Mus musculus: one gene and its partners. The protein of the gene in region 1 interacts with the protein of each later gene in a pairwise test. Links are inferred from orthologs where the notes say so. Each region holds a gene or a part of one and is shown in the gene's direction. Other genes may lie near its edges.

Evidence for each region.
Region 2: the proteins of Crk (region 1) and Ppfibp2 interact in binary tests that used the Homo sapiens proteins (3 or more experiments, as listed by UniProt). The link is inferred for Mus musculus from reciprocal best matches to the Homo sapiens genes CRK and PPFIBP2.
Region 3: the proteins of Crk (region 1) and Dppa4 interact in binary tests that used the Homo sapiens proteins (3 or more experiments, as listed by UniProt). The two-hybrid records come from large-scale screens. The link is inferred for Mus musculus from reciprocal best matches to the Homo sapiens genes CRK and DPPA4.

The regions. Positions count from the first base shown.
Region 1 is NC_000077.6:75,703,259-75,706,093, forward strand, and holds part of Crk (adapter molecule crk), read left to right. Parts: intron 1-107; coding exon 108-245; 3' UTR 246-2,835. UniProt on the Homo sapiens protein: Involved in cell branching and adhesion mediated by BCAR1-CRK-RAPGEF1 signaling and activation of RAP1.
Region 2 is NC_000073.6:107,593,575-107,597,850, forward strand, and holds the start of Ppfibp2 (liprin-beta-2), read left to right. Parts: upstream 1-1,476; 5' UTR 1,477-1,727; coding exon of another isoform or gene 1,728-1,805; intron 1,806-4,276. UniProt on the Homo sapiens protein: May regulate the disassembly of focal adhesions. Did not bind receptor-like tyrosine phosphatases type 2A.
Region 3 is NC_000082.6:48,282,339-48,286,534, forward strand, and holds the start of Dppa4 (developmental pluripotency-associated protein 4), read left to right. Parts: upstream 1-1,396; 5' UTR 1,397-1,479; coding exon 1,480-1,503; intron 1,504-4,196. UniProt on the Homo sapiens protein: May be involved in the maintenance of active epigenetic status of target genes. May inhibit differentiation of embryonic cells into a primitive ectoderm lineage.

The DNA.
Region 1 (2,835 bases):
CAGCCCTAGAGCAATCACGTGGGCAGGGTGTGCCTAACAGAGAATGGAGATTTTCACCTTGCATTCTTAACTGGAAATAAAGTACTCTCCTTATTCTCGTCCTGCAGGTCGGTGAGCTGGTAAAGGTTACGAAGATTAATGTGAGTGGTCAGTGGGAAGGGGAGTGTAATGGCAAACGAGGTCACTTCCCATTCACACATGTCCGTCTGCTGGATCAACAGAATCCCGATGAGGACTTCAGCTGAGTATAGCTCGACAGTTTGCTGACAGATGGAACAATCTGTTTCCCCCCAATTGCCATCTATACAATTTTCTTACAGGTGTCAAAGCAGTCTAGTTTATATAAGCATTCTGTTACCTGGGATCTTTTTTAAGACTGAACTACTCCATTCTCACTTGTATTTACCATATTCAGGGTACGAAACCGGAGGGCTTATGTGGTTAACTTCTGAGTTGGCAGTTTTAGGTGGTAGTTGCCGTGCCTGTATGAGAAGACGTAAATACATTGCCTCCTTTCTTTTGGGCAAAACAGATCAACCTGTGGAAAGCTGATGGGCAGGAAAAGAATGTTACTCACTGCTGACCCTGATTTCTTCAGAGGTTCTGTTTTCATCCTGAATCCATACTGTCAAGTGGCAGCAGACTGTTCCCCACTCCCATGACGTAATCATGCACTGTGTGAATATTACCCAGTGGGGTTGCATTTGCATTTATGGACCATGACCATTGTATGACTCATTCTGACATTTCAAATCCTGAGGATTCTGAGAACACTACTAGAGGCATTTGTCTTCCTTGGATTTTTCTTGGATTCTTTCCTTGTTACTCTCCTCCCCTGTACCTATAAGTGGCTTGATTCTTAGGATAATGTATATCTTCATTCCAGATGAGAAGCAGGATGTACAGAGCACTTTATTCAGTGCATAGCTTTAAGCCAGTATTGGATTCACTCAGTGGATAAACTCCCAGCTCTCTGCCTTCCCCCAAGGGGGCATCGTAGGTTCACACTGCTACCACAGCTCAAGACTCACCTTACTGATGGGACAGATCTGGCAGGGCCATTTTTCCTGATTGCTAGTATCCTAATGGGATGCTCAAAGTTCTCAGATTCTACTTGGAGTGGAAGGACCAATCACTTACTGTATCCTATAGAAGGTATCAAGGGCCAAACTTTGCCCTCTGCATCATGTGCAAGTTGTATAAAAGGCAGGTTAGAATTCTATGCATTTGGGTAGGATTGATACTTTGAAAACTATTCCAGTCGTAAATTACTTATGTATCATTTTACATGGTTTAATAGTTGGTGAAGTATATTACACTATAAATTGCCTTCATTTGGGTTCTCCTTTGTCCAGATTTAGTTTACAACCCTTTAAAGTAGAGAATGATTTATACGAGGTCAGATGCTCCAGAGACTAGGCCTCTGAGGCCACAAATTATAGGGTTTCTTTAGACTGTAACATGAGACTTTCAGGTGATAAAGGCACTTGCTGGTCTCTGGTGTAGGTGACCAATAGAAACACCTTATACTTTGCTTTGAACCTCATTTTAGAAAAATAATTTACCTTCTTAGTTGTCTTGTGTAGATTAATATGATGAATTTGCATTCATTGAACATATACCAAATCATGTGACTGAAGTGACTAGCACATTGCTGAGCACGTGTGTAGAGATTTTGTACGAAAGAATGAGCAGAGTGCAGAAGCGTGTTGTATGGCCCAGGGACGCCAGTTGGCATACATTACCACAGGCAGATTTAATGAGTTGATGCTAATTTAATACATTTTTTACCTCACTGTAGCTTGATAAAAACAGTAATACTCAACTTTAGAGATGTTGGCCCAGTTCTGAGCTCATAATAGGTGGTCAGTGATACTGAATGGACAGGTTTGTAGCACGTGACTTACTGCACCTGACTGCTTGTTTCACTTTTCAGTTAGCATAGATTGTGTAAATCCAAATGCACAGTCAATCCTGTTTCCCTAAGCCTTGTGTGATGGTGAATGTCTTTAGTCCTAGCCCTTGGGAGACAAAGGCAAGTGGATCTCTGAGTTCAAGACCAACCTGGTCTACAGAGCTACTTCCAGAACAGTCAGGAGTTAGAAAGTGAGACCTTGTTTCAAAAACAAAAACAAAAACAAAAAAGAATCTGTTCCTGAAATTATGGCATCGAAAACACTTCTTAGAAAATCATCGTCACAACTGATTTGAATGCTGGTATTTTCTTTTGCCTTTGATGCTGGCTTGTATTGTCTCTTCACTATATGTGGTGGGAATGGGATCTGCAGCTCTCCGTGAAGCCTACGAACTCCTCAGTGATTAGTTATTCAGAGCCATTACGTGAACTGTTTGGTTGGATTTGGCTGGGTGTAGCAGTTATTGGACCTCAAGAGATCAAAGGACTTCTTACAAATATCTTCCAAAAATAGCAAGTGCTATAATCCTAGTCAGATGCGTATGTACATTGTCACAGAGCAAAGTAAACTGAAATTGGCTGCTATGTTTTATATAATCACTTCTGCAAGAGCCCATTTTTGGATACTAATATTTGACATGGTTAATTCTTATTAATTTGTTGAAAATGTTTATTAATAATGCAAATAGATAATTTTAATTTTCCACAAGTAACATTTCACTATTAATGGTTTGAAATGGGTGATAAGCAAACCAATTTGAAATAAAATATGAACATGTGCCATTGTATTATAACACTATTCACTTTCTTGACAGTTAAATTTTAAAAATGTTTTTTTTTTTGTAGCATGTATTGTATATGTTTATAGTATATGTAGTAAATAAAAGTATGGCCAAATGTTTGGCTTGGTGATCTTTTGA
Region 2 (4,276 bases), on another chromosome or scaffold:
AGGTTATCCTCTCCAACGCCAAGAGATCAGACCCTCTGGAGATGGGAGGAGAGCGTCTGTACTTTTTTTTTTGTTTTTTGGTTGTTTTTTTTTTTTTTTTTTTTTTTTTTTTTTTCGAGACAGGGTTTTTCTGTGTAGCACTGGCTGTCCTGGAACTCACACTGTAGACCAGGCTGGCCTTGAACTCAAAAATCCACCTGCCTCTGCCTCCCGAGTGCTGGGATCAAAGGCGTGCACCACCACGCCCGGCGTCTGTACTTTTAAAGCTCCTTCCCAAACTGCACAGAAGCTTGAGAAAGCCAAGTTCATAAAACATTTTACAAAATAATTGTATAGTTCTGAGAAAATGCTGCAGTTTCTGGGGGCCTGGGGGAAGAAACTGCCCCCGTGGCCCCAAGCTACCAGTGGGATTTGGAACTGCCCACACTTGAACTTATATGAACTGCGCAGGCTCTGTTTCCAAAAGCCTCTCACCCGCTATTTTAAGGAAGTGAAAGAACCGAAGGGTGTCCTGCTGTGACACAAGTCTGGGGCCCCAATCTTCCTCTACTGGCTTTGCCTTTGCTCTGCTGCTGGCCATGTCCCCGCAGTGCTCACACACCTGTTTGCCACAGTATTTATGATCTTCTGTTCATGTGTGCAAGCCTCTGGTCATACCAGTAATTTTAGACTAATTTTGAAAAAAAAAAAAAAAAAAAAAAGACGAGTCGTGTCTGTCAACACTCCAGGTGTAAGCAACTGGAGTCCAGCTTAGTAGAGACTCCTGCCAGAGTCCCTGTATCCCTGCCATCTGAGGCCCTGGAGATTCTAAGCAGATAAAATGAGCAACCGGCCCTTGGAGGCCCGGGTAGGGCAAGCAGCTGTGGTAAAACCCAGGGCCTTATGCACGCTCGAGGTAGGTGCTGGGATTCGGTCTCCAGGTTTTTTTTGTTTGTTTGTTTTGCATACTTGTACCTGACCTTGCAGGGCACAGGAAGTGTTCTGTCTTCAGCTATTCACAAGACAGAACACCAGAGCTTTAACCACTAGAGGGACCTTCAGGAAAGGCGGGGGGAGCGGCGGCGGAGGTTGAGTTAGACAGATCTAAGAGTGACATGGAACCCAAATTGGGGTTGGTCTGGGCTGATTGGGAATGATACAGGTCTTAGACTACCCTTAATCTCAATGGGGTTACACAAGGCCCGCTGTGTGTGTGTGTGTGTGTGTGTGTGTGTGTGTACGCTTGCGCTTCGGTGCTCCTTTCTGCAATTCTCCGCACGCTTTCCTCGTCCTGCTGACAGATTACAAAAACTCTGGAGACCTGAGCACAGTGGGACACAAGGAAAATGCCTAGGGTCCTTTCTGCGGCCGGAAGAGTGCAAGAGTCCTAGGTGCAAGCAGTGGGCTGGACCCAGAGAGGGGCGTGGTCTCCCGGGAGGGGCGGGGTTTGAGCCAGCACGGGAGCTCTGCCTGGGGGCGGGGCTGACCAGGCAAGTCCCTGTGGAACTGGAACTGTGGCTCTTGGGTCCTCGCGGGCCACTGCGGTGCGGGAGAAGGAGGAGGGGTGGCAGAGGGGCGGTTCCTAGGGGGAAGGTCCCAGCAGCCAGAGAGCCACACTCCGGGACCAGCCTCTCTGGGATCCCCGCCTCCGTCACGTGGGTGCCGAACCGGGTCGGTGCTGGCGGGTCTGCCACTTGGTTGGCAGTTGGTCCTTGGGCCAGTGGCCTGTCACTGGGTTCTCCGCTCTTATGTTGGAAAGTGTGAGGGACACAGGAGCGACCTGCATACCTGAGCCTCCGAGAGAGAAGCTGCACTCTGGCATCCAGGTCAGTGGGTCTCCCTGCCTCGGCTCACCGCTATCCCGGGAACTGAGTACCCCCAGATCCAAGAACTACATGGGTAGTTGGGCGTCTGTGGTCTTTTAGACCTTCGAACGTTTTCAAGACTTGGGGACCCACTTATTTGTCTGGGAGACTGAGAAAAGGGAGCAACTCCCCTGGATTTGCTTGAGTTTTCTACCCGACCTCGCTCTGGATGTGCCACCTGCCCCGCGCTTCTACAGGTGGCAGAGTGGTCCCCAGGATACCGGGGTGTTCCGATATCTCAGAGTTCCGGGCGATTTTGACCCAAGCCTTGAGTCCCGTGAGGGCAGCAGTGGCATCAACTGGAGATACCTAGGTGGGTTTGTTCCATAGACCTTTGGTCCAGAGCGCTTTGGCCAGGAGCAGTTCTGTGCACTAATTGCTAAATGCAACACACTTCCCAAAGGCTCAAGGCAGGATTAGGGTGTGGGGATGCTTCTGTTTTTAAAAGTGGGTCCTCTTCCCTCCTTCCATCCTGACGCCAGACCCATACTTTTCCCTCCGATCAAAATAAGGTTATTATATGTTTAAAAACTAGAACTTCCAAGGTTCCGGTAGGATTCAAATAGGCATTCAGCTCTTTCTTAGAGCACTGAGATATTTGATATAGATCAGTCTTCCTCTTCATATTTTGGTTTTATTTCTGCCTGTGTTCATTTCTCTTGGTCCTTAATTGATTATATTGTAGACTGTAGTGTTTATTAGATTACCGAGTATTTTGTTAAGGTAAATGCTCAACTACAGGAAGGAAGTCAATTACAGACCTAATTAATCTTCAGTCTTAGATTACTATTGGTATACTAAACATGTTATCTGATTAGAAATTATTTCTTTCTTCACCAGCCCGTTTGTATGCATATTTACGTGACTTTGAAGTGGAATATTGTTAAGTCTTTTGTTGTTATTTTCATTTGGGATTTTATTTAAGGCTGATGGTGATGGGAACTGGTGATCTCATTTAGACCCTTGTGAATGCTTAGCTAGGCAAGTGCTCTACCACTGAGCAACAACACTCAGCCCTCACATAATATATTAGTGGTATCACTCTGAGGTTTGATGATGTGCCGATTTTAGTTTATTGCTACTATTGTCTGTGTTTTGGTAACTAAGGCAGATATGCTAAGTGGATGGATAACATAAGAGATACATGTAAGAGATAAAGACAGATGAAGGTTGGAACAAACTTACAGAAATTCTAGGGGTTTGTTTGTTTTTTTTCACCAGAATAAGGAAAATCTGGGTAGGTTTTAAGAAGGATCAATCTATATGAGGGATGTCACAGGAAGATGTTAGCGGTGACCTGGGCCATGGAGAGGTCTATAAGGCAAACTCAGTCTATAAGAAATGGCTACTGGTCCTTCTTGGTTCCTGGCCTGATTGGTAGACAGAACAAAATAACAACAAAACCAATGGTCCCAGCTGGCCCAAGGCCACAGACTTCAATGTATGGGATATTAAGCAGAGACTGACTGTGGTCTGCTGAGCTTATCAAAGTTAGAGTCCTTGAACTTTGACCTGCCCAACCCCCAGCCTGACAGAAATCTAGTAAACATTTGTGGAGAGAAAGGTCAGCTGACATTTTAGAGCCCTGTGCTTCAGACACAAGCTTGAGAATCAAGAGATGATCTTCAAAAGTAGATTTTTGACACTGTGGGTCAGGGGTGAAGTCTGGCATTCTGTATTTCTAACCTATTTCTTTCTTGTTTGTATCAAGTATTAAGAGTGATGTACAAACTCTCCGAAGGCCTCGGAGTTTTGCAAACTCTTCAGGTTAAGTAGGTCCCAGGCATGTTTGGCATTCTCCAGGTGTTTCTAATAACAGCCGGGTGGGATCCACTATTGGACTTGGTAGCGCCTGAAGGACCACAGCTGGAAGGCCAGTTAGGAGACTGGCAGGCCAATTCAGATAATTATGAGGAGAGTGAAGTGTGAGTAGACAAAAGAGACCCTAGAAATACCAGGGCCAGGAAAAGGGAGGTGTCAGCCTTTATACTGGTTAGGCAGAATAAGACTCTAGGAAAAGGAACAGTTCTTGGAGAATTCTAGTTCAATTTTGGATGCACTACTTCGACAATACTGGTCAGCAGCTAATTTGTGTGTGTCCATAAGTTTGTGTGGGGATGGTTTCTCCTGAAATACAGATCTATTTATGATTCATTACTGTTTCAAATCCCCTGGTGAGGGAGAAAGAATGAATATATAGGTGACATGTTTTAAACGTTAAGACCTATAAAGTGTGTGACTCCATATAAGATATGACGGTCACCCCTTTGTGCACAAAAGTAAAGCTAAAACTCTGGGCTTGGATTCTCCTGAGTCACTGGTTTTCTTGCTTCCTCCTTCCTCTTAGGAGTTCCACTTCCTTTACCCTTTGCTACCCTAGAATTTCGTTTTGTTTGTGCTTGAAGGCACCTATGTGTGTTTATTTTTAGAGT
Region 3 (4,196 bases), on another chromosome or scaffold:
GTCCCAGCACTCAGAAGGCAGAGAGGCAGGAGGAGCTCTGTGAGTTCGAGGCCAGCCTGGTCCAGGACAGCAGGCTACACAGAGAAACCCTGTTATCAAATACCAACCAACTAGCAACGACAAAACCTTTTAACAGTTGGCAGAAAAAAAAAAAAAAAAAAAAGGGCTGGTGAGATGGCTCAGTGGGTAAGAGCACCCGACTGCTCTTCCAAAGGTCCAGAGTTCAAATCCCAGCAACCACATGGTGGCTCACAACCATCCATAACGAGATCTGACTCCCCCTTCTGGAGTGTCTGAAGACAGCTACAATGTACTTCCATATAATAAATAAATAAATCTTTAAAAAAAAAAAAAAAAACAGTTGGCAGATAGAAAGTTACAGTTTTGAACCAGGCTCGGTGGCCTGAATTCCAGCCCTGGGGAAGCTAGAAGATCAGAAATTCAAGCCCTGGCCAGGTGTGGTGGGGTACACCTTGAATCCTAGCAGTCAGGAGGATGAGACAGGAAGACCTCAGTATGCTGCAGGTCCGTGGAGACTTCAAAAAAGGAGGGTTGGATGGGGAAGAATTAAAAGAGTTGTAATTTTATGGGCTGGGATTGTAGCTCAGTGGTAGATTGATTGGTGCACAGAAACAAAGCCCAGGGTGAGCCCTGAAACCACCAAAACAATGCAACCCCCACCCCCTGCCATCTCATGGAAAAGGATTTCTGGAGCAACTGGGTTGTTTTCATTCCTGTTCAGGATGCTAATTCCATTAGATAAATTTGCAGTCTTTTCAGAATTCTCTAGGAACTTCACTTTCCCTTAGCAATATTTAGGTTCTTTCTTTCTTTCTTTCTTTCTTTCTTTCTTTCTTTCTTTCTTTCTTTCTTTCTTTCTTTCTTTCTTTCTTTCTTTCTTCCTTCCTTCCTTCCTTCCTTCCTTCCCTTTTTTTTTTTTTTTTCTTTTTTCTAAGATAGAGTCTCACTATGTAGACTAGGCTGACCAGGAGCTCAGAGAGATCCACCTGCCTCTGCATCTCTAATGCTGGGATTAAAGGTGTGTGCTGCCACGCCCAGCAATAATTACAGTTTTAAATATCCCAGATCTACAGTTGCCAGGAGCAGGGGGTAGCAGCTCACACCTCTAAATCGCAGTATTCCGGAGGTTGAGACAGTACAATATACAAAGCGCATTTCTGGCCAGGCAAAGAAATGATAAACTCTGCCTCAAAAACAAAACAAAACAAAACAAACAAAAAAAAATTCGAGGAAACAAGCCTAATAATTAAACCACACAAAAGGGGATTTTATTAAAATCAGCCACAAAAGGAGATTTTAGCATCACAATTTTGTTGAGGGTGGGACCAGAAGGGGAGGGGAACGGAAGAGGGCCTCAAGACAACAGGAAGTAGGAGGAGATTTTGAAAAGCCGGCTGAGGTCAGAGGTCTTTTGGAAGCTGGGAGAACTTTCTTTCGGAGGATTCATCTATTCTCAAGATGGAGACTGCTGGAGACAAGAAGGTGAGAACTGTTTTTACAATTTGGCTTTCCAAATGAGGGCCCCTCATTTTTGAGTATAGCCAGCCATTGTTTGGAGAAGAGAAGAATGAGCGTTACAATTTGTTACAACCTTAATTGTTTTTTTAAAAAAAATTATTATTTAAAGGCAGGTGTGTGGCTTGGCGGGCCCGCTCGAAGTGGCCTTGCGCGAGACCCTGGGGCCCGGGTGTAGATGTGTTAGGAGAGGAGGGTGTGTTTTGGAAGGAATGCTTTGTTAGGAAGGAATTTAGAATCCCGTAGCTGGTCCCGGGATAAAACAGGGTATAAACTGAGGCTTTGGGTAGCCTCGGAAGGAGTCCCCAGTTAACCTGAGAGGACCCGAGGGCTTAACCCAAAAGTGCCTGCTACAGGGCTTCCAGGCCCCTTAATTTATCCATAGGCCCTCAGAATCTATGAATTTTGACATGGCAGACCTGCTGGTTCCTAACTGTAGTAGCCAGGATAGGATGCTGAGCACTTTCCTGGACTCCTCCCCAAGAAACCGCCAGCCATTTTCATCTTTCTTTATTGTAAGAATTTTGTTAAGTCCTAAAGTGAATCCTTTATAAAGAGGTTGTGCAAAAGTAAATCTTAGTCCTTGGGAAGCCGGTCCCTATTGTGATGGGAGAGAACTGAGGTGTCAAGTAACAGGAAATGCTAAATTGTCACTTCCACAATTGCGGGGGTGGAGGAGGGGGGGGGTGGAAAAGACCTAGGTTTTGGAGCTAAGTGACCTGGTGGTTTTACTTATTTATTTAGTGAGTTATTGTTTTGTTTCTCTGTAGTCCTGGGTACCCGGGACTCGCTCTGTAAACCAGGTTGGTTTGCCTCCCGGGTGCCACCCTCTCTTTTCTTTCTGAAACAAGGTTTCTCTGTAGCCCTGGCTGTCCTGTAACTCACTCTTGTAGACCAGGCTAGCCAGGAACTGAAGAGATTCGCCTTCCTCTGCCTCCCGAGTGCTGGGATAAAGGCATGTGCCATGACCACCTGGCTTTAATAAGCTTTTAACTTTTGGCCCTCCATGTTGAAAATACAGTAGTGGTTCTGAAGTTATATAAAGATTAAATGAGGCAAGGAGTGTGTTTAGTCGTGTATATGCTGGAAGAGGCTTAATATTTGTTAGGTTTTTTTTTTTTTTTTTTGGTGTGTGTGTGTGTGTGTGTTTCTTTCTGTGCTTAGGGATTTTTTTGTTGTCGTTGTTGTTGTTCCCTTAATTAAACTGAATATTTATTATCCATCCTCAGCAATAAAAGGGAGAGGGACCCCATTCTTATGGAGTTTAAAATCAGATGGAATTAATTGACACATGGAAATGAGGTAACATGTGGTAGATTTTTGAGATTCCAGCAAAATAACCCTTGAATTGAGACTCGGAGGACAGTGAGGTGTAAGAACTGAAGGAGGAGTGGGTGGGTCCTAACACATCACCAGGCTGTTTTAACAATTGGAAACTGTCCCTAGGCCATGTCTGAGAGGCTCTGAAGGGAAATCAAGCCACGGAAGTGACAGTGCCTTTGGTACATCACTCTGGCTACAAATTTCTTTGGGTGAGCCTAGAACCAAGGACTAGGGGAAACAGTTTTTGGGTGTGAGACTACAGAGTAAGGTTTTCTTTGTCCAAGAGTGGACCACTATCCGGTTGCTTTCATTATCTTCTGTTGCTCTGTTCATACCTATTTCATCCTTTAGTTTTATCCTGTAGCCTAAGCTTGGGTAGAGGAGGCACCAAGGATGTGACAGATCCGTCACATCCTTGGTGCCTCCTCTGCATTCACTGCACAGGTGCTAATACAGCTTCAGTTTGGATTTCTTCCTTCCTTAAGACAGTCCCATAGGGGGCGGGCCTGTGGACCAAATCCCAGCACTTACCCTGAGGCAGGCGGGCCTCTGAGTTCAAGGCCAGCCTGGTCTACAAATCTAATTCCAGGACTGCCAGGGAAGCTACTTAGAGAAAAACCCTAGCTCTAAAAAACAAAGACGAAGATAGTCTTACAAGTCTGGGCTGGCCTGGCCTTGGTCCTAGCCTAGGGTTACAGTTGTATGTCACCAAGCCTGTTTCTTTTTCTATTCTTTTTTTTTTTAAGATTTTTTTTTCATTTACATTTCAAATGCTACCCCAAAAGTCCCCTATACCCTGCCCCCACCCTGCTCCCCACTTCCTGGCCCTGGCAATCCCCTGAACTGGGGCATATGATCTTCGCAAGACCAAGGGCCTCTCCTCCCAATGATGGCTGACTAGGCCATCCTCTGCTACATATGCAGCTAGAGACACGAGCTCGGGTACTGGCTAGTTCATATTGTTGTTCCTCCTATAGGGTTGCAGTTCCCTTTAGCTCCTTGGGTACTTTCTCTAGCTCCTTCATTAGGGGCCCTGTGTTCCATCCAATAAATGATTATGAACATCCACTTCTGTATTTGCCAGACACTGGCATAGCCTCACAAAAGACAGATATATCAGGGTCCTGTCAGCAAAATCTTTCTGACATATGCAATAGTGTCTGAGTTTGGTGGTTGTATATAGGATGGATCCCCAGGTGGGGCAGTCTCTGGATGGTCCTTCCTTTGGTCTCAGCTCCAAACTTTGTAACTTCTTCCATGGGTATTTTGTTCCCCATTCTAAGGAGCGAAGCATCCACACTTTGGTCTTCATTCTTCTTGAGTTTCATGTGTTTTGC